2 linked regions of the Astyanax mexicanus genome follow. The protein of the gene in region 2 interacts with the protein of the main gene of each other region in a pairwise test. Links are inferred from orthologs where the notes say so. Each region holds a gene or a part of one and is shown on either strand. Other genes may lie near its edges.

Region 1 (10,734 bases), on a different chromosome or scaffold from region 2:
ACATCCTCCAGCATCATCCAGCATCATCCAACATCATTTAGCATCATCCAACATCATCCAACATCATCTAGCATCATCCAACATCATACAACATCATCCAACATCATCCAACATCATCCAATATCATCCAACATAATCCAGCATCATCCAACATCATCCAAAACATCACCCAGCATCATCCAACATCATCCAATATCATCCAACATAATCCAGCATCATCCAACATCATCCAAAACATCATCCAGCACCATCCAGCATCATCCAACATCACCCAGCATCATCCAACATCATCCAACATCATCCAACATCATCCAGCATCATCCAACATCATCCAACATAATCCAGCATCATCCAACATCATCCAAAACATCATCCAGCACCATCCAGCATCATCCAACATCACCCAGCATCATCCAACATCATCCAACATCATCCAACATCATCCAGCATCATCCAACATCATCCAACATTATCCAGCATCATCCAACATCATCCAAAACATCATCCAGCACCATCCAGCATCATCCAACATCACCCAGCATCATCCAACATCATCCAACATCATCCAACATCATCCAGCATCATCCAACATCATCCAACATTATCCAGCATCATCCAACATCATCCAAAACATCATCCAGCACCATCCAACATCATCCAGCATCATCCAACATCATCCAAAACATCATCCAGCACCATCCAACATCATCCAGCATCATCCAACATCATCCAGCATCATCCAACATCATCCAGCATCATCCAACATCATCCAACATCATCCAACATCATCCAGCATCATCCAACATCATCCAACATCATCCAACATTATCCAGCATCATCCAACATCATCCAAAACATCATCCAGCACCATCCAGCATCATCCAACATCATCCAACATCATCCAACATCATCCAACATCATCCAGCATCATCCAACATCATCCAACATTATCCAGCATCATCCAACATCATCCAAAACATCATCCAGCACCATCCAACATCATCCAGCATCATCCAACATCATCCAAAACATCATCCAGCACCATCCAACATCATCCAGCATCATCCAACATCATCCAGCATCATCCAACATCATCCAACATCATCCAACATCATCCAGCATCATCCAACATCATCCAACATCATCCAACATTATCCAGCATCATCCAACATCATCCAAAACATCATCCAGCACCATCCAGCATCATCCAACATCATCCAACATCATCCAACATCATCCAGCATCATCCAACATCATCCAACATTATCCAGCATCATCCAACATCATCCAAAACATCATCCAGCACCATCCAACATCATCCAACATCATCCAACATCATCCAACATCATCCAACATCATCCAGCATCATCCAACATCATCCAACATCATCCAGCATCATCCAACATCATCCAACATTATCCAGCATCATCCAACATCATCCAAAACATCATCCAGCACCATCCAGCATCATCCAACATCATCCAACATCATCCAACATCATCCAACATCATCCAGCATCATCCAACATTATCCAACATTATCCAGCATCATCCAACATCATCCAAAACATCATCCAGCACCATCCAACATCATCCAGCATCATCCACCATCATCCAAAACATCATCCAGCACCATCCAACATCATCCAGCATCATCCAACATCATCCAGCATCATCCAACATCATCCAACATCATCCAACATCATCCAGCATCATCCAACATCATCCAACATCATCCAACATTATCCAGCATCATCCAACATCATCCAAAACATCATCCAGCACCATCCAGCATCATCCAACATCATCCAACATCATCCAACATCATCCAGCATCATCCAACATCATCCAACATTATCCAGCATCATCCAACATCATCCAAAACATCATCCAGCACCATCCAACATCATCCAACATCATCCAACATCATCCAACATCATCCAGCATCATCCAACATCATCCAACATCATCCAGCATCATCCAACATCATCCAACATTATCCAGCATCATCCAACATCATCCAAAACATCATCCAGCACCATCCAGCATCATCCAACATCATCCAACATCATCCAACATCATCCAACATCATCCAGCATCATCCAACATTATCCAACATTATCCAGCATCATCCAACATCATCCAAAACATCATCCAGCACCATCCAACATCATCCAGCATCATCCACCATCATCCAAAACATCATCCAGCACCATCCAACATCATCCAGCATCATCCAACATCATCCAGCATCATCCAACATCATCCAACATCATCCAACATCATCCAGCATCATCCAACATCATCCAACATCATCCAACATTATCCAGCATCATCCAACATCATCCAAAACATCATCCAGCACCATCCAGCATCATCCAACATCATCCAACATCATCCAACATCATCCAGCATCATCCAACATCATCCAACATTATCCAGCATCATCCAACATCATCCAAAACATCATCCAGCACCATCCAACATCATCCAGCATCATCCAACATCATCCAAAACATCATCCAGCACCATCCAACATCATCCAGCATCATCCAACATCATCCAGCATCATCCAACATTATCCAGCATCATCCAACATCATCCAAAACATCATCCAGCACCATCCAACATCATCCAGCATCATCCAACATCATCCAACATCATCCAACATCATCCAACATCATCCAGCACCATCCAACATCATCCAGCATCATCCAACATCATCCAACATCATCCAACATTATCCAGCATCATCCAACATAATCCAAAACATCATCCAGCATCATCCAACATTATCCAGCATCATCCATCATCATTCAACATCATCCAGCATCATCCAGCATCATCCAACATAATCCAACATCATCCAAAACATCATCCAGCACCATCCAACATCATCCAGCATCATCCAACATCATCCAACATCACCCAGCATCATCCAACATCATCCAACATCATCCAAAACATCATCCAGCACCATCCAGCATCATCCAACATCACCCAGCATCATCCAACATCATCCAACATCATCCAACATCATCCAGCATCATCCAACATCATCCAACATTATCCAGCATCATCCAACATCATCCAAAACATCATCCAGCACCATCCAGCATCATCCAACATCACCCAGCATCATCCAACATCATCCAGCATCATCCAACATCATCCAACATTATCCAGCATCATCCAACATCATCCAAAACATCATCCAGCACCATCCAACATCATCCAGCATCATCCAACATCATCCAAAACATCATCCAGCACCATCCAACATCATCCAGCATCATCCAACATCATCCAACATCATCCAGCACCATCCAACATCATCCAGCATCATCCAACATCATCCAACATCATCCAACATTATCCAGCATCATCCAACATCATCCAAAACATCATCCAGCACCATCCAACATCATCCAACATTATCCAGCATCATCCAACATCATCCAAAACATCATCCAGCACCATCCAGCATCATCCAACATCACCCAGCATCATCCAACATCATCCAGCATCATCCAACATCATCCAACATTATCCAGCATCATCCAACATCATCCAAAACATCATCCAGCACCATCCAACATCATCCAGCATCATCCAACATCATCCAACATCATCCAGCACCATCCAACATCATCCAGCATCATCCAACATCATCCAACATCATCCAACATTATCCAGCATCATCCAACATCATCCAAAACATCATCCAGCACCATCCAACATCATCCAGCATCATCCAACATCATCCAACATCATCCAACATTATCCAGCATCATCCAGCATCATCCAGCATCATCCAACATCATCCAACATACAAGTATTGGGAAGCTGGAGCAGCAGGAGTCTTAATACTTTTGGCCATGTACAGCTCATCAAACCAAACTGAACTGCTTGAATTTTTACACCAGGAGTAAAGCAGCATAAAGTTATCCAAAAGCAGTGTGTAAGACTGGTGGAGAAGAACATGATGCCAAGATGCATGAAAAAACTGTGATTAAAAACCAGGATTATTCCACCAAATATTGATTATTTCTGAACTCTTAAAACTTAAAAGAGAGAGAAAAACGTAAAACTTTATGAATATGAACTTGTTTTCTTTGCATTATTTGAGGTCTGAAAGTTCTGCATCTTTTTTGTTATTTCAGTCATTTCTCATTTTCTGTAAATAAATGCTCTAAATGAGAATATTTTTATTTGTAATTTGGGAGAAATGTTGTCTGTAGTTTATAGAATAAAACAACAATGTTCATTTTACTCAAACATAAACCTATAAATAGCTAAATCAGAGAAACTGATTCAGAAACTGAAGTGATCTTTTCACTTTTTATAGAGCTGTTTATGGTGTATTAAGGGTATATTAGGATGAAATGGTATAAATGTTTGTTCAATATCAGAACCTGGTACCGGTCCAGTCCAAAACACTGTAGTCCAACAATACCATTGTGTGTGAAATGGCAAAAGTATTGGGACAGGGAATAGTATGGGGTCCCATGATTTTTGCCATGCCCCATGGAACCTAAAGAACGCATGTTGCTGAGCGTTTTTCACAAAGACAATTGGAACCAGACGCAGCCGGTAGCGATCATCACGAAATACACACACACACACACACACTCGCGCGCGCGCGCGCAGGTTGTAGGTAAGGTGAGAGGTGCTGAACTCACGCGCTGCTGCTGCTGAGCGCTCTGCGCGCGGCGATGCTGGCGATGATGACGCTCTCCGGGCGGGGCGTGGTTACGGCTCTGCACGCGCCTCTCCAAAACTTCTCCAGGAGCTGCTTCTGACCCTGCAGCACGGTGGCCATGGCAACAGCCCCGCGCCCGCGCGCAGGGGGCAACGGCGGACCGGAGCACGGGGGACTAGAGCGCGCGCACGGGAGCTGTCCCGGTGCTGAAGCCCAGCAGCACGTGCCTCCTACTGCTGCTCCTACTGAGCGCGCGCGACTCTGTGTGTGTGTGTGTGTATTGTGTGTGTGTGTGTGAGAGAGAGAGATAGTGTGAGCGCGCGTGCTGTGTAAGCTGTTGCGGGCAGTGCGCGCGCGGGAGAGTGTGTGTGTGTGTGGGGGGGTCCAGCTGATGGAGGCTGGTTTTGTCAGGAGCAGCCAGTGACGTAGAAAAGGAGGTGGGGTCAGACACACACACACACACACACACACACTTTTTTATACACACACACACACTATACACACATTATACACACACACACACACACACACACACACACACACACATAAACACAAATACACACAGTGTCTCTCTCAGTATATCTCTCTGTCTCTCTCTTTCTATTTGTATATCTCTCTTTGTATAGTTCTCTCTCTCTCTCTCTCTCTCTCTCTCTCTCTCTCTCTCTCTCTCTCTCTCTCTCTCTCTCTCTGTTCGTTTCTCCTCAGACTCCAGGTCTCTACATCAGTGAGTATCTAAACCCAGTTTACTCACTACATCACTACACACAGGCAGAACAGCACATGTGCACTATATAGTGAGCAGGTGGGGGATTGGGACACAGCCCGTTTATTGTTTACATGTGTCTGGCAAACTGTGATATTCTTTACTCTTATTATTTTATTTAGAATAAGTTTTTCAGGAGAACAAAAAAACTTCTTATCTTTTAATGGAAGCAAATGTAGGAAGATTTAATTCCGACCAATTAATTTCTGAACATTTCTATTAGTCCGTTTATCTTTAAATTCGGAAATAATATATAATATAATATAAAATATAATATAACACATTACAGTGATTATTCTTTATTTAAAGTGCTTTTTTCTAAAACTCTTTGTTGTAGTTTATCTCTCTCTTTCTTATCCTCTTCCCTTAATCAGCATAACAATAGAGCTGAGGGGGGGCAGCAGACGGAACATTACCCACAATACCCCCCCCCCCCCCCAACTGCACCTGCGCACACACACACTCTACACACACACACACACTGACCTTTTTCTATTGTGTATCTCTCTTAGATCCTTTGCACCACCCCCCCCCCCCCCCCCAAACCACCTGCCACTACCCCCTCCCCTCACTGGCCACTTTATTAGAAACACCCAAGTACCTCCTAGTTCAACAACTAGCCAGATCATTAGGAACACCTACTACCACCTTCTGCTTATTATCTCTGGCCAGTTTAATAGAAACAATGAAGTACCATCTGGTCTCACTACTTATTAGATCATTAGGAACACGTAACACTTATTTCCACTTATTTGCCACTTTATTAGAAACACCAAAACAACCTCCTAGTCCCACCACTGGCCAGTTAATCCAGTTAATTAGAAACACCTACCAATTTGAGTTTCCATTTATTTGCCACTTTATTAGGAACACCTATCACCTTGTGCTTTTACTTAATTGCCAGATCATTAGGAACACCTATCTTGTCGGAACTAAAATCCTGTATTTTGTAAAGGAAGAGAGAGAGAGAGAGAGAGAGAGAGAGAGTGAGAGAGTGAGAGAGAGAGATAGAGAGAGAGAGTGAGAGAGTTGTTAGTAACTCCCCTAATAACTACCTCCCCTAATAAACAACTGTTAATATTATTATACTTGATCATTATAATCACTATAATTTTTTTATTATTACTATTGTTATTATTATTGTTGTTTTTACTATTATCATCATTGTTGTTATTATTATTATTGTGATTTTTTTATTATTATTTTTATTATTATTATTATTATTATTATTATTATTCTTTCTTTAATTAATTGATGTTTATGTTTCATCGTTGTTTCACTATAGGTTCGGTTGTGATATTTGTGTGCTTTGGCAACATTGTTTTTTTTTAAAACAGTCATGCTAATAAAGCCAATTTGAATTTGAATTTGAATTTGAGTGAGAGAGAGAGATAGAGAGAGAGAGTGAGAGAGAGAGATAGAGAGTGAGTGAGAGAGAGAGAGAGAGAGAGATAGAGAGAGAGAGTGAGAGAGAGAGATAGAGAGTGAGTGAGAGAGAGAGAGAGAGAGAGAGAGATAGAGAGAGAGAGAGAGTGAGAGAGATAGAGAGTGAGTGAGAGAGAGAGATAGAGAGAGAGAGAGAGTGAGAGAGATAGAGAGTGAGTGAGAGAGAGAGAGAGAGAGAGAGAGATAGAGAGAGAGAGTGAGAGAGAGAGATAGAGAGTGAGTGAGAGAGAGAGATAGAGAGAGAGAGTGAGAGAGAGAGATAGAGAGAGAGAGTGAGAGAGAGAGATAGAGAGTGAGTGAGAGAGAGAGAGAGAGAGAGAGAGAGAGAGAGAGAGATAGAGTGAGAGAGTGAGAGAGAGAGATAGAGTGAGAGAGAGAGAGAGAGAGAGAGTGAGAGAGAGAGATAGAGTGAGAGAGAGAGAGAGAGAGAGAGTGAGAGAGAGAGATAGAGAGTGAGTGAGAGAGAGAGAGAGAGAGAGAGAGAGATAGAGTGAGAGAGTGAGAGAGAGAGATAGAGTGAGAGAGAGAGAGAGAGAGAGAGAGATAGAGTGAGAGAGTGAGAGAGAGAGATAGAGTGAGAGAGAGAGAGAGAGAGATAGAGTGAGAGAGTGAGAGAGAGAGATAGAGTGAGAGAGAGAGAGAGAGAGAGAGAGATAGAGTGAGAGAGTGAGAGAGAGAGATAGAGTGAGAGAGAGAGAGAGAGAGATAGAGAGTGAGTGAGAGAGAGCTTCACTCCTAAACACAGAGAGAGAGAGAGAGAGAGAGGTATAGAGGTTCTAAGGATAAGTCATATCTGTGTGAGCTCCCAGATTTTTCTCTTTTTTTTTGTTTTAAAGTGAGAGAAACATTAAGAAAATCTGTAATAATACTTGGATAACGTAAATTCAAGTAAAAAGTAAAATATTTAGGACAGAAATCAAGAAATTCAATAAGATATTTGAAAGATATTGAATCAAAACAAGAAGAGACTTCACCTTCAGGCAAAGCAGAGCAGGGAGAGAGAGAGATCACTACAGGAGGGAGAAACTGAGAGGAACATACATCTCTATCAGAACTTTCAACAAACAGCATCTGCAGTACTGTGAGTGACATTTTCACTAAAAACATTGAAAATAAGAGGAAGAAATACTATATTTAAGCGTTTTAGCTATGAATATGAGCTAAATGCTAAAGCTAAAGTGACAGTTGGAGGGTTGACAATCAAAACCCCTCAACATTCCGAGCCATCAGTTACCCATATAAGGTGTCCAGGATGAGCCAATCAGAACTGTCCCCTGTCCCTCTCTGCCCTGTGGAGGATGTGGATCAACTCTGTGGCCCAGTACAGTACTGCCCTGTCATTTACCCTCCTGAACTGAAAAGTGAAACGGCCAGGAAACAGTTTAAACAGAATCTGCTAAAGGAGAATCCTGAAACTCTGTTTGCTGATTTTTATAAGACTGGGGAAGTCAGCAATCTTATCTTTTATTCAGAACACCCCAGCTCATGGCATAAAGCTCTGCTAAGTCACTACTCCTCTGTGAAAAAAGAAGGGATCTGTAATGGGTGGAAAATAAAAATAAAGGACCCAACAGACACAGAGACAATTATGGCCACAGTGAACATTTATAAAAATGGTACTGTCATGGTGCAGGGAAACCCCAGTGTGTTCCAGGACTCTTTTAATAATCTTAAAGAAATTGCAAAGAAAGAAAAGTTCACTGTAAACACACTGCAGGAAGACAAGGCAGATCTACAGAACACTACAACAGACCCCCCAGAGCCCCCAGCTCAGGAGCAGGAGGACACAGAACAGAACCAGCAGACTTCACTTTACACCTCCATCACCTCAATGAAAGAGCACTTTACACGCTTAGAAATCGAGTTAGTACAACTCAGAGAGATGGTCCTAAAGCAGCAGTCTTACAATCAACCAAAGCTGGACAAGGACAGCTCCGAAAAAGAGTTGACAGCACTGAGAGAACAAGTTAAAGATCTAAAAATGATCATAGAGGAGGACAGACACACCTACAGAAAGGAGATGTCTGCATTGAGAGAGGAGCTAAAGCAGAGAGACAGCACAGTACAGAGTCTGACACAACAGCTGCTCTCCTTCAGTCAACATCAGAGCCCTCCATCAGCTCAAACCACCCAACTTCAGCCCTCACCCTCAACCTCCACCAACTCTCAACCACCTCCACTTGCTCCAACCATCGACTCTCAACAGCCTTCACTTGCTCCAGTCACCAGTTCTCAGCAGACTCCACCCAGTCAGCAAGCACATGTGGAGTCCAACATCCAGGAAACTGAGAGAGAGGAGGGAAATCCAGGGCAATGTGACATTGCTCTGTTAATCGATTCCAACGGGAAATTCATTAATGAGAAAAAACTATTTCCCAAACACAGAGTGGTAAAACTCTGGTGCCCAACCACTAAAAAAGCACTGGAGCTCCTCACAGAAGAAAAACTAGGGTCACCGACCCACATTATAATCCACACCGGGACAAACGACCTCCGGAGTCAGCAAGAGAGAGTGGCCACCTCCCTGAGAGCAGTAATCGAGAAGGCCAACAACACCTTCTCTAATTCAAAAATTATCATCTCAACACTGCTGCCTCGCAAAGATTTTCACCCTTACACCATCCAGAAAATCAACGCCAGCATCTCCAGGGAATGTGCTCTCCGGCCAAACACCCACCTGGCCCATCACCCGACTCTGGATACCACCTGCCTCTATGATCACGTCCACCTTTTTAAAAATGTAGTGCCTACATTTGCAAAAACGCTGAAGGACATTGCACTGACCCGCAGGGCTATCCAGTACACTGCTGAACAAAACCTCAAGAGAACACGGTCATCACAACACACCCCAAGACCTGGAGGAGGAGCATCACAAGCCCCCCATCAGACACCTCAGCACCACACCTACCATCACCCACCACAGCCAGGCATGCAGAGGAGAATCCAGAGGAACCCTGTTCCTGCACATACAACAGCACCAGCACACACCACAGGTTCCCCCCATGCACCAGTCCCACCATCAACTACCCAGCAGCTCCAGACCAGGCCTGGACCCCTGACCTACGCTCAGGTCGTCAGAGGAACAGCAAGCGCTAATGTGTCCGAACTCAGAGACATACAGCAGATGCTCAGTCACATCTGCACACGTCTGATGGGACATGGTCTATGATTAGAATAGCATACCTTTTATTTCATTAAGAATGGCATCATTTCAAATTTCAGTTTGGAACATTCAGGGTTTGAACTCTTCTCTTTTTAATTTAAAAAGCAGAAACCCTGAATTTATAAATGAAATTAAGGATATTGATATTTTGGTACTGCAGGAGACATGGTGTAAAGGAGACGGTCCCACTGGTTGTCCTCCAGACCACAGAGAATTGGTTATTCCTTCCACCAAGTTAACAGGCGTTTCTCAGGGTAGGGACTCGGGGGGAATGCTTATTTGGTTTAAATCAGAACTAACAAATTCTATAGAAATAGTAAAAAAAGGAGAAGATTATTTGTGGATAAAACTTAACAAACAGGCAATTTCAACCCCCCAAAATTTATTTATTTGTGCAATATACATCCCCCCAGCAGAATCCCCCTATTTTAAAGAAGAAACCTTCCAAAATTTAGAAAGCGAAATTAGTCATTTCCAAACTCAAGGCCATGTAATGATCTGTGGGGACTTAAACGCTCGAACAGGAGAGCAACCTGACTTTATCAGCACAAAAGGAGATCATTTCATTACAGGAGATGATATACATTTTGGTACTCACTCCCCCAGAGAAAACTGCGATAAATCAGTAAATTCACATGGAAGAAACCTACTGCAGCTC
Region 2 (11,358 bases):
TAATCTGGATTCGAACATCACTCAAATATTCACTATTCACTGTATACCTGTAACTCTACCTCTTCACTACTTTACTTTAACTGATGCTCTCAAACACTTTATTAAGAGACAAGAAATTCAAGTAATTAACTCTTGATGAGTTCAGCACAGCTGTTAACTGAAAGCCTGAATTCCAGGAGACTCTACCTCATAAAACTGACTGAGAAAATCCAGCAGAGATGTTCAAAACTGATCATCTAAACAAGAGGAGATAGATTTAGTAAATCATTCTATATATTGTTCTTCATAGTTTGGATGAGTTTAGTATTAATCTACAGTGCAAAACATGTTAATATAATGAAAACACTGAATTTAAGGTGTTTAAACTTTGGACTGGTACTGTAGAAACTTAGAAAAGTACTGATATATAGTTATATATTTAGTTATATATTCTATAGTGTTAATTCTGTTTACCTGGAGCTTCCCAGTCCAGAGACTCGGTCCACACTGCGCTCCTCAGCGTCTCCGTCCCTCCGGCAGACCTCCGCCAGATCCTGCAGAACCACAACCAGAATCAGAACCACTGAGCCCAGAGCGTATACAGTATACGACAGCAGAGTTTATATAAACACAAACCTCTTTAGTGACTCCGGCCGGCCGTCTCTGCACTGTTTTATGACCCCTAAACACAAACACACACAAATAACACTCAGACAATACATACTGCAGGATATATACACCATGAAATATATACTTACAGCCCTTTAATAATAATTATTAATAAATTATACTGTTTAATAAATATATATTATACGTTTTGATAAAACACCTCCCTAAATATCTCAATACAGATACTGAAACGATACCACGTCAACCACCTTAAACATCAGAAATAAATAAAATAATAGAAGATCTGATGTGAAACTAAAAAAAAAATTAAATAAAAGAAACAAAAAAGCAGAAAAGTTTAATAATGTGATTATGTTTATTCATAATTTCAAGGAGGAAAATAATATGTTTATGGAATTTATTTTATAATCACTTAATCTTTGTATTTGCAACCAGATCTCACAGATTAATGTTTTTAATAATACTCAATATTCAACACTCGTTTGGGGCAAAGGTTTGGATTCATACTGATCATTTTTCTGTGGTTCAATTGACTCAATCTTTAAAAAAAAAAAAAAAAAAAACGAGAAAAACTTATAATAAAATAAAAAAATAAAAAAAAAAACTAAATATGTTAGTACAGATTCTATAACAATACCACAGCAAAACCTAAAACCTAAAGAAAAGCTACAAAATGATGTTTAAATATTTGTCGATTACTGTGGTTTGATTCATTTAATAATAAGTCATTTAAAAGCAAAAACACATTAAAACGTTCAAAATCTGCTGATATTATCGTAATTATCATGTGAGCCATTTTTGTACGCTTTAAGGCTTTGAGGAACTTTTACACGATAAGTGATCGTGGAAGATGAGTGAATCGGTTCAGGAATCGAAAGCAGATTGGAATCAATGATTCAGAACATTGTTTATGAGCCCATGTGTTTATATGAGGCTCTGATCTGGTGTAAATCTAAACTCAGCCGTAGGGAAACTCAGAGACGACACAGAGCTCTCCTCAGACACTGGATTATACTACAGAACTGAAAACTAAAGAGAAATAAAGCAGGAAACCAGCTACAGTGGATTAATCACAGATCCTCACCTGAGAAAATGTTCATTTTACTCAAATATAAACCTATAAATAGTAAAATCAGAGAAAGTGATACAGAAACTGAAGAAGTGCTCTCTTCATTTATTACAGAGCTGTATGTTGAACATATTAGTGTATGTGTGTGTGTGTGTGTGTTAATAATCAGACTGATGAGAGTAATTAGTCTGATCTCTGATGGAGGTGTGGGTGAGGGACGTACAGCGCTGCCATCATGGCCTCTCTCTCCGCCTCTCGCACGGCCGCCAGCTCCTGCTCTCGCGACACTCTCTCTCCCTGCTTATCTTTCGCGTACCAGGTCAGGTCCCGCCCCTTCTGCCAGCGGCCAACCGGGGCCATGAGGGAGTTCCCTACAATAACAACAACAACAAACACACACACCAGCGTCAAAACAGCAAAATATAAACAAAACAAGAAACTAAATATTTTATATAATAATATGAATATATAAACAAACTGTACAATTACTTACTATCTAAAATTTTACATTATTATCTGTAGTTTTAAAAAAATCACACCATTTTTAACGTAATTACATTGGATCAGGATCAATATGTGTTTACATTCAGCATTAAAAAACTCTTAGAATTAATCAGTATTCAGATAGTCAGACTGATGTAATGTTCTTTAGGATTAGGATTAGGCCAGTACTCAGTATTTTAGCACGAGGATGAATATCTGTATGGGGAAATACAGTATTTACCTTAATCAAAAATTGCAAAAACAAGACCTTAAAACCACCTGAATCCGTTTTCCAAAGGTCTTAAAGGATGCAGACAAGGAGAAACACACTATGAAGTGGTTTTTGGTTGCAGTGAAACATGATAATGAGTACAAACGTATGTCAAATAGCCCACCTCCATTCTCCCCTCAGCATTCCCAAATACAGCACTTTTAGCCGATGCTGCCAACAGCTTTACAACGCTATTAAGATTCTACCAATGAAGTGTGGAGATACTTAAAGCTTGATAACAGTGCAAAAATAGCCATTTCTTTGCATGATAACTCTATGCCCCCATTACTAGCATTGTGAGACTGTTGGGAGCATCAGCTAAGAGTGCTGTATTTGGGAATTCTTGGGGAAAACGGAGGTTGGCTATTCCACAAAAGTCCTTTAATGTCTGTGGCATTTTAAGACATTTTAAGGTCTTGTTTTTAGATAAATGAATGTAATGGTTTGTAAGGATCTGCAGATACCCTGTATACTGTTAATATCAAAATTGGAATTATATTGTATTGATCAAAATACAGACAAAGATCTGGAGATGCTGGACAACTTAATGATGTAATTGATGGAAGCAGGAATTCTGCTGTTTATCAGAAAATCCTGAAGGAGAATCAGAATCCTCCATCTGTTCCTTAGTGATCCTCAAGCTCAGGAGTACTTGGATTCTGCAGCAGGACAATGACCCAAAGCACACAAACAACAGGTTCACTGTCTCTGAATGGGTTAAAAACTAAATGAAGGTTTTGGAGGGTCTAGTTAAAGTCTAATTGATTGAGATGCTGTGGATGATCTTAAACAGGACTTTTATGCTGGAAAATTTTCCAATGTGTCTGAATTAAAACTGTAATTCTGTAAAGAAGAGTGGAACTAAAACTAAAGCTAAAGAGTCAGGGTGGTCTGGGTCATTTTTTCCCTTAATAAATGAAATTATAATTTAAAAAGTGCTTTTTATATTTACTCAGGTTATTTTTTACCTGATATTAAATGTGTTTGTTAATCTGATAATGTAAGCATGATTAAAGAGTATGGTGCCCCCTGCTCCCCCCTCCCCTCAGGGATCTGCTGTTAGATCAGCAGAGCTGGATAGAAGTTAAAAGTCCGGAGAGGAGGAGCAGCACAGCTCCACCAAACCTGAACCAGAACCTGAACCAGAACCACCAGAACCAGAACCGAACCGGAACCGGGCTGTGGAATGAGAGAGAAGCCCGGGGGAGCAGGTAAACTCCGGATTATTACAGATTAAACTGGATTATTATATTAAAACTCCACACTTTCACTTTCTGACAGAGACAGCAGGAGTCTCCTACATCCGGGACTTTCACCACTTTATCAACACTGTTCACTTATTAAACTATAAAATAAGTTTTAATATTAATTTTACGAATTTTAAAGCTTTTAAACTTTAATCTTAGATTAATCTGCTCTAACTGGAGCTCAGTGAGTTGATGGCTATGCTAAAATAGGCTAGGCTAGGCTATGCTAGGCTAGCTAACATGCAACATGCTGTACCAGCAGCTGCTACAGTGTGCAGAACTATGCTAAGCTAAAATAAGCTAAAGCTAGGCTAGCCCATGCTAAGCTAAACTAAAGCTAAAGCCAGGTTATGTTAGCCGTTAGCCGGGTCCTCACCCAGGTAGTTCTCCCGGTGTTTATCCGCTTTAACATCGTCCCAGTTGAACTGGTCCTGTCCGCCGCGCACTCCTCCGGACCGGGACGAGCCGAACATGCTGGTTCTGGAGAGTTCTGCCGGGTTCGGTTCGGGTTTAGCCCGCTAGCGCTCCGGATCCGGACCGTGTGTCCGCGGAGCTGCACTTCACACAGCCGCCGCTAGCTGGAGCCGCAGCGCTTTACATCCGGGTACTCTGAGGGAGCGAGGGAACAAGGGGGCAACGAAGTGCGCACTTCCCTCCAATCCACACTTACTTACTTATTTACTTACTTATTTATTTACTTATTTATTTTAAACTTAAAGTTTTAAACTGAATTCATAATATTTTGTAAGCAAGGCTGCACCACTTAGACTCACTATATTAGGCAATGTCTATCATTTATATATATATATATATATATATATATATATATATATATATATATATATATATATATATATATTATTATTATAAGTAAGTAACATAAATTATAAAAAGAAACATATAACAGGAAGGTTAAGGTCATGTATATTTATTGTACAATAAATCAATTTATTATCGCGACAGGCTATACTGTTTATAAATTTAAATATATTAATAAACAAATAGGCATGTTATGATGATTATCGGCTTATCGTACAATAAAGGTTCATGACCTCAGTAATGGTGATAACTGCAGAAATGAATGTTTTATTTTTTAATTTTCAATATATAGAATCTCAGTAGTATGGAAGCCCATTCCCGCCACCTAAAAAATAAAAATACTCCAGCATTTTTTTTTTATTATTATTAAGTAAATTGCTATCTCAATATTTTGAGATACTAAGTCAATATTTTGAGATACTATCTCAATATTTTGAGATACTAAGTCAATATTTTGAGATACTATCTCAATATTTTGAGATACTAAGTCAATATTTTGAGATACTAAGTCAATATTTTGAGATACTAAGTCAATATTTTGAGATACTATCTCAATATTTTGAGATACTAAGTCAATATTTTGAGATACTAAGTCAATATTTTGAGATACTATCTCAATATTTTGAGATACTAAGTCAATATTTTGAGATAGTATCTCAATATTTTGAGATACTAAGTCAATATTTTGAGATACTAAGTCAATATTTTGAGATACTATCTCAATATTTTGAGATACTATCTCAATATTTTGAGATACTAAGTCAATATTTTGAGATAGTATCTCAATATTTTGAGATACTAAGTCAATATTTTGAGATACTAAGTCAATATTTTGAGATACTATCTCAATATTTTGAGATACTAAGTCAATATTTTGAGATAGTATCTCAATATTTTGAGATACTAAGTCAATATTTTGAGATACTAAGTCAATATTTTGAGATAGCAAGTGTGTTTGCTTTTGTAAAGAAAAAAAAAAAACGTTTTTTTTCCTCCAGTGAAGCCTACCTACCATATATAACATACAGCATAGTCGGAGCCACAGCCACACTCTTTAACACGCTAAAATAGTCCAGTGTGTTATTAAATGAATCTCAGCAACCAGTCACATCTGAATCGGATCTCCGTCTGCATACATGTGAGTTTGGTGGCAATTTTAGCACAGTATTTGTGCTGGGTCATGGGCATTAAAAAGCACGATTGTATGGAAGCCCATTCCCGCCACCTAAAAAATAAAAATACTCCAGCAATTTTTTTTTATTATTATTAAGTAAATTGCTATCTCAATATTTTGAGATACTAAGTCAATATTTTGAGATACTATCTCAATATTTTGAGATACTAAGTCAATATTTTGAGATACTAAGTCAATATTTTGAGATACTAAGTCAATATTTTGAGATACTAAGTCAATATTTTGAGATACTATCTCAATATTTTGAGATACTAAGTCAATATTTTGAGATAGTATCTCAATATTTTGAGATACTAAGTCAATATTTTGAGATACTAAGTCAATATTTTGAGATACTATCTCAATATTTTGAGATACTAAGTCAATATTTTGAGATAGTATCTCAATATTTTGAGATACTAAGTCAATATTTTGAGATACTAAGTCAATATTTTGAGATACTAAGTCAATATTTTGAGATAGCAAGTGTGTTTGCTTTTGTAAAGAAAAAAAAAAAACGTTTTTTTTCCTCCAGTGAAGCCTACCTACCATATATAACATACAGCATAGTCGGAGCCACAGCCACACTCTTTAACACGCTAAAATAGTCCAGTGTGTTATTAAATGAATCTCAGCAACCAGTCACATCTGAATCGGATCTCCGTCTGCATACATGTGAGTTTGGTGGCAATTTTAGCACAGTATTTGTGCTGGGTCATGGGCATTAAAAAGCACGATTGTATGGAAGCCCATTCCCGCCACCTAAAAAATAAAAATACTCCAGCAATTTTTTTTTATTATTATTAAGTAAATTGCTATCTCAATATTTTGAGATACTAAGTCAATATTTTGAGATACTATCTCAATATTTTGAGATACTAAGTCAATATTTTGAGATACTAAGTCAATATTTTGAGATACTAAGTCAATATTTTGAGATACTATCTCAATATTTTGAGATACTAAGTCAATATTTTGAGATACTAAGTCAATATTTTGAGATACTAAGTCAATATTTTGAGATACCTTAAATGCTGGCTGAATATACATGCGGCCACCTGTAGATAATGACCTGGGAATTAGGCCAAAAGTGAGAGCAATAACGTTTTAATTCATATTTAATTTTATTTACATTATATTTCACTCAGAGTTAAACTCTGTCCCTCGCATTGTGTTCTCCCCTTTATTCAGAGCGTTTTCACAGCACTTTGCTTACATGCTGTTTTTTACTGTTAAAATGCGACATCTACAGGCGGCCGCATGTATGTTCAGCCAGTATTTAAGGTGGAACGGAAATCTGAATAAGACACTGGCGAATAAGAAGCTAACTTCAGCCTCGTCCAAGATCCGGAGGCTTATTTTGATATTGTGTGATTCCTCTAAAAGTTCCAATATTTCATGATTTGTGAATCCACGTCTGAAGTAGTCCTCAATGATGGTATCCATTTTGCATCTTTGTCTCACCTGCTTCTGTCTCTGTACAGCCTAGTATCTCAAAATATTGAGATAGTATCTCAAAATATTGACTTAGTATCTCAAAATATTGAGATACTATCTCAAAATATTGAGATAGTATCTCAAAATATTGACTTAGTATCTCAAAATATTGACTTAGTATCTCAAAATATTGACTTAGTATCTCAAAATATTGAGATAGTATCTCAAAATATTGAGATAGTATCTCAAAATATTGAGATAGTATCTCAAAATATTGACTTAGTATCTCAAAATATTGACTTAGTATCTCAAAATATTGACTTAGTATCTCAAAATATTGACTTAGTATCTCAAAATATTGAGATAGTATCTCAAAATATTGAGATAGCAGTTTACTTAATAATAATAAAAAAACATTTTGCTGGATTATTTATTTTTTTTAGGTGGCGGGAATGGGCTTCCATAGAGTAGATGTGACAGTGATTTACAGAATTTTCCTTAACTTCCTTTCCTTAGATAAAGCGCGCTTCAGTTTTGCACACTACTTAGGTGCCCTACTTAGACCCCGAGTGCGTGTGATGGAGCGCGCCCGGGCTGAGTGGGCGGGTTTAGCTATGCGGGGTATTGTTCGGAGGGTGCGGGGCGGTGCGGGAGGCGCGCGGCGGCTGCGGGGAGTTACACACGCTTCCGGGCCGGTGACGTCGGTAATGGCGCTCGCGGAGGAGAGCGAGCGGTAGAGAGAGGAGCTCGCGCTGCTGCTGGAGGAGCCTGATGTTCCTCAGAACCCTCTGCAGAACCTTCTCAGGTCAGAACCTCATCAGAACCTCATCTAAAGGGAGGAAGGGTAGTTCTCCCACTCTTCCGCAGGGCTTTTAAATGGGGGTAGTTTAACTACACTGAGGAGGTATTTTAAATCTATATACATATGATGACGTTACGTTTATATTTATACACACCGTGGAGCTCCCTTACTATTAGTGCTCATTCCACCTTAAATCATTCCACCTTAACAGTTTCATTCAAAATACCGGGGTATCACCAGTTGGCAGTATATAGTCTCAAGGTCTGTTTGTATGTAGTGTTGAGGTCTGTGTGTATACAATCTTGTGTATATAGTCTTAAGGTCTGTGTGTATATAGTGTTGATGTCTGTGCACATGTAATCTTGAGGTCTTTGTGTATAAAATCTTGTATATAGTGTTGAGGTTAGTGTATATAATCTTGAGGTCTGTGTGTATATATTGTTGAAGTTAGTGTATATATTTGTGAGGTTTTTGTGTATATAGTTTTGTGGTTGGTGTATATAATCTTATAAATAGTCATGAGGTTAGTGTATATACTGTTTAGGTTTGTGTATATAGTGTTGAGGTCTGTGTGTATATAGTCTTATATAATATTGACGTTCGTGTATATAGTCTTGTATATAGTGTTGAGGTCTGTAGACCTGAAGTTGATGCATATAATGTTGAGGTTAGTGTATATAGTCTTGTAAGTTTTCTTGAGGTCAGTGTATATAGTGTTGTTGTAAGTAGTCTTTAGGTCAGTGTATAGCCTTGTGGCTGCAGTGTATATGAGATATAGTCTCATGGCTTAGTTACTGTGTATATTATCATTAGTATATGTCAGTGTATAGTCTTGTGTTTGTAGTGTATAGCCTGTGGTCTCAGTTCTAGTCTCATGGCTTGATTGTATATAGTTTTGATGTATATTTGGGTTATATACAGGTAGACACTCTGACTGATCACTGATAGTATATTTGTGTTTATGTGTATAATTGTGTGTATAGCTTCGTACGTACGGTTTATCTGAAGTGTAAAGTGCTGGATTTGGTCTTTGTGTCGCAGTTCAGGGTTAATTACAGTGTAATTACTGAGAGTAGTGTGGAGCTGCAGTGTGCTGTAAATTACACTAATCTAATAGTGAACTAACTCATCTCACATGCAGCCTCACCAGACCCCTTATTACACCCACCCGCTACTGATTACTGCTGTATACTCACCACATCCTGCCTATCACTAATATTACACTTATACACCACATCCTGCCTATCACTAATATTACACTTATACACCACTTCCTGCCTATCACTAATATTACACTTATACACCACATTCTGCCTATCACTAATATTACACTTATACACCACTTCCTGCCTATCACTAATATTACACTTATACACCACATCCTGCCTATCACTAATATTACACTTATACACCACATCCTGCCTATCACTAATATTACACTTATACACCACATCCTGCCTATCACTAATATTACACTTATACACCACATCCTGCCTATCACTAATATTACACTTATACACCACATCCTGCCTATCACTAATATTACACTTATACACCACTTCCTGCCTATCACTAATATTACACTAACCCACCACATCCTGCCTATCACTAATATTACACTTATACACCACTTCCTGCCTATCACTAATATTACACTAACCCACCACATCCTACCTATCACTAATATTACACTTATACACCACATTCTGCCTATCACTAATATTACACTAACCCACCACATCCTGCCTATCACTAATATTACACTTATACACCACATCCTACCTATCACTAATATTACACTTATACACCACATCCTGCCTATCACTAATATTACACTTATACACCACATCCTACCTATCACTAATATTACACTTATACACCACATCCTGCCTATCACTAATATTACACTTATACACCACTTCCTGCCTATCACTAATATTACACTAACCCACCACATCCTGCCTATCACTAATATTACACTTATACACCACATCCTGCCTATCACTAATATTACACTTATACACCACTTCCTGCCTATCACTAATATTACACTAACCCACCACATCCTACCTATCACTAATATTACACTTATACACCACATTCTGCCTATCACTAATATTACACTAACCCACCACATCCTGCCTATCACTAATATTACACTTATACACCACATCCTACCTATCACTAATATTACACTTATACACCACATTCTGCCTATCACTAATATTACACTTATACACCACTTCCTGCCTATCACTAATATTACACTTATACACCACTTCCTGCCTATCACTAATATTACACTTATACACCACATCCTGCCTATCACTAATATTACTGTTATGTGTGAAAATATTCTGTTTATTTCTTAAAATACTGAATAATCTACATGTAATTTACTCTATATAACATTAGAATAATTGAGTATCTGCATATATGCTGTTCATATACATATGCCTGCTGACTGTGCTGCTCTGATTGGCTGTTTGATGTTGATTGAGCGTGTACTCAGTGATATAATTAGAGTATAATTAGAGTATTGATCGATGTGATTGATTAATTAGTATCTGTGGGCTGGTTCTGGGTGTTCTAAAGCTCTATAACAGTAGTAAATATGTGATAGTGTCTGAGCTCTGGTTCTATTTATATAGCGCGGTTCTGAGCTCTGGTTCTGAGTTCTGAGCTCTGGTTCTGAGTTCTGAGCTCTGGTTCTGAGCTCTGGTTCTGAGTTCTGAGCTCTGGTTCTGAGCTCTGGTTCTGAGCTCTGAGCTCTGGTTCTGAGCTCTGGTTCTGAGCGCCGGTTCTGAGTTCTGAGCTCTGGTTCTATTTATATAGCGCGGTTCTGAGCTCTGGTTCTGAGTTCTGAGCTCTGGTTCTGAGCTCTGGTTCTGAGCTCTGGTTCTGAGTTCTGAGCTCTGGTTCTGAGCTCTGGTTCTGAGCTCTGAGCTCTGGTTCTGAGCTCTGGTTCTGAGCTCTGGTTCTGAGTTCTGAGCTCTGGTTCTGAGCTCTGGTTCTGAGCTCTGGTTCTGAGTTTTGAGCTCTGGTTCTGAGCTCTGGTTCTGAGCTCTGAGCTCTGGTTCTGAGCTCTGGTTCTGAGTTCTGAGCTCTGGTTCTGAGCTCTGGTTCTGAGCTCTGAGCTCTGGTTCTGAGCTCTGGTTCTGAGCTCTGGTTCTGAGCTCTGGTTCTGAGTTCTGAGCTCTGGTTCTGAGCTCTGGTTCTGAGCTCTGAGCTCTGGTTCTGAGCTCTGGTTCTGAGCTCTGGTTCTGAGTTCTGAGCTCTGGTTCTGAGCTCTGGTTCTGAGCTCTGGTTCTGAGTTCTGAGCTCTGGTTCTGAGCTCTGGTTCTGAGCTCTGAGCTCTGGTTCTGAGCTCTGGTTCTGAGCTCTGGTTCTGAGCTCTGGTTCTGAGTTCTGAGCTCTGGTTCTGAGCTCTGGTTCTGAGTTCTGAGC

The links. The genes of interacting proteins can lie anywhere in the genome.
Region 1: the proteins of c8h1orf35 (region 2) and srrm4 interact in binary tests that used the Homo sapiens proteins (3 or more experiments, as listed by UniProt). The link is inferred for Astyanax mexicanus from reciprocal best matches to the Homo sapiens genes C1orf35 and SRRM4.

Annotation. Positions count from the first base shown.
Region 1 is NC_064429.1:38,526,494-38,537,227, reverse strand, and holds the start of srrm4 (serine/arginine repetitive matrix protein 4), read right to left. Parts: upstream 5,074-10,734; 5' UTR 4,822-5,073; coding exon 4,682-4,821; intron 1-4,681. UniProt on the Homo sapiens protein: Splicing factor specifically required for neural cell differentiation.
Region 2 is NC_064415.1:653,131-664,488, reverse strand, and holds the start of c8h1orf35 (multiple myeloma tumor-associated protein 2), read right to left. Parts: upstream 4,284-11,358; 5' UTR 4,153-4,283; coding exon 4,056-4,152; intron 3,644-4,055; coding exon of another isoform or gene 3,619-3,643; exon of another isoform or gene 3,494-3,618; intron 2,050-3,493; coding exon 1,902-2,049; intron 662-1,901; coding exon 616-661; intron 534-615; coding exon 454-533; intron 1-453. Other genes in the region: guk1a (guanylate kinase), read left to right, coding at 7,881-7,914.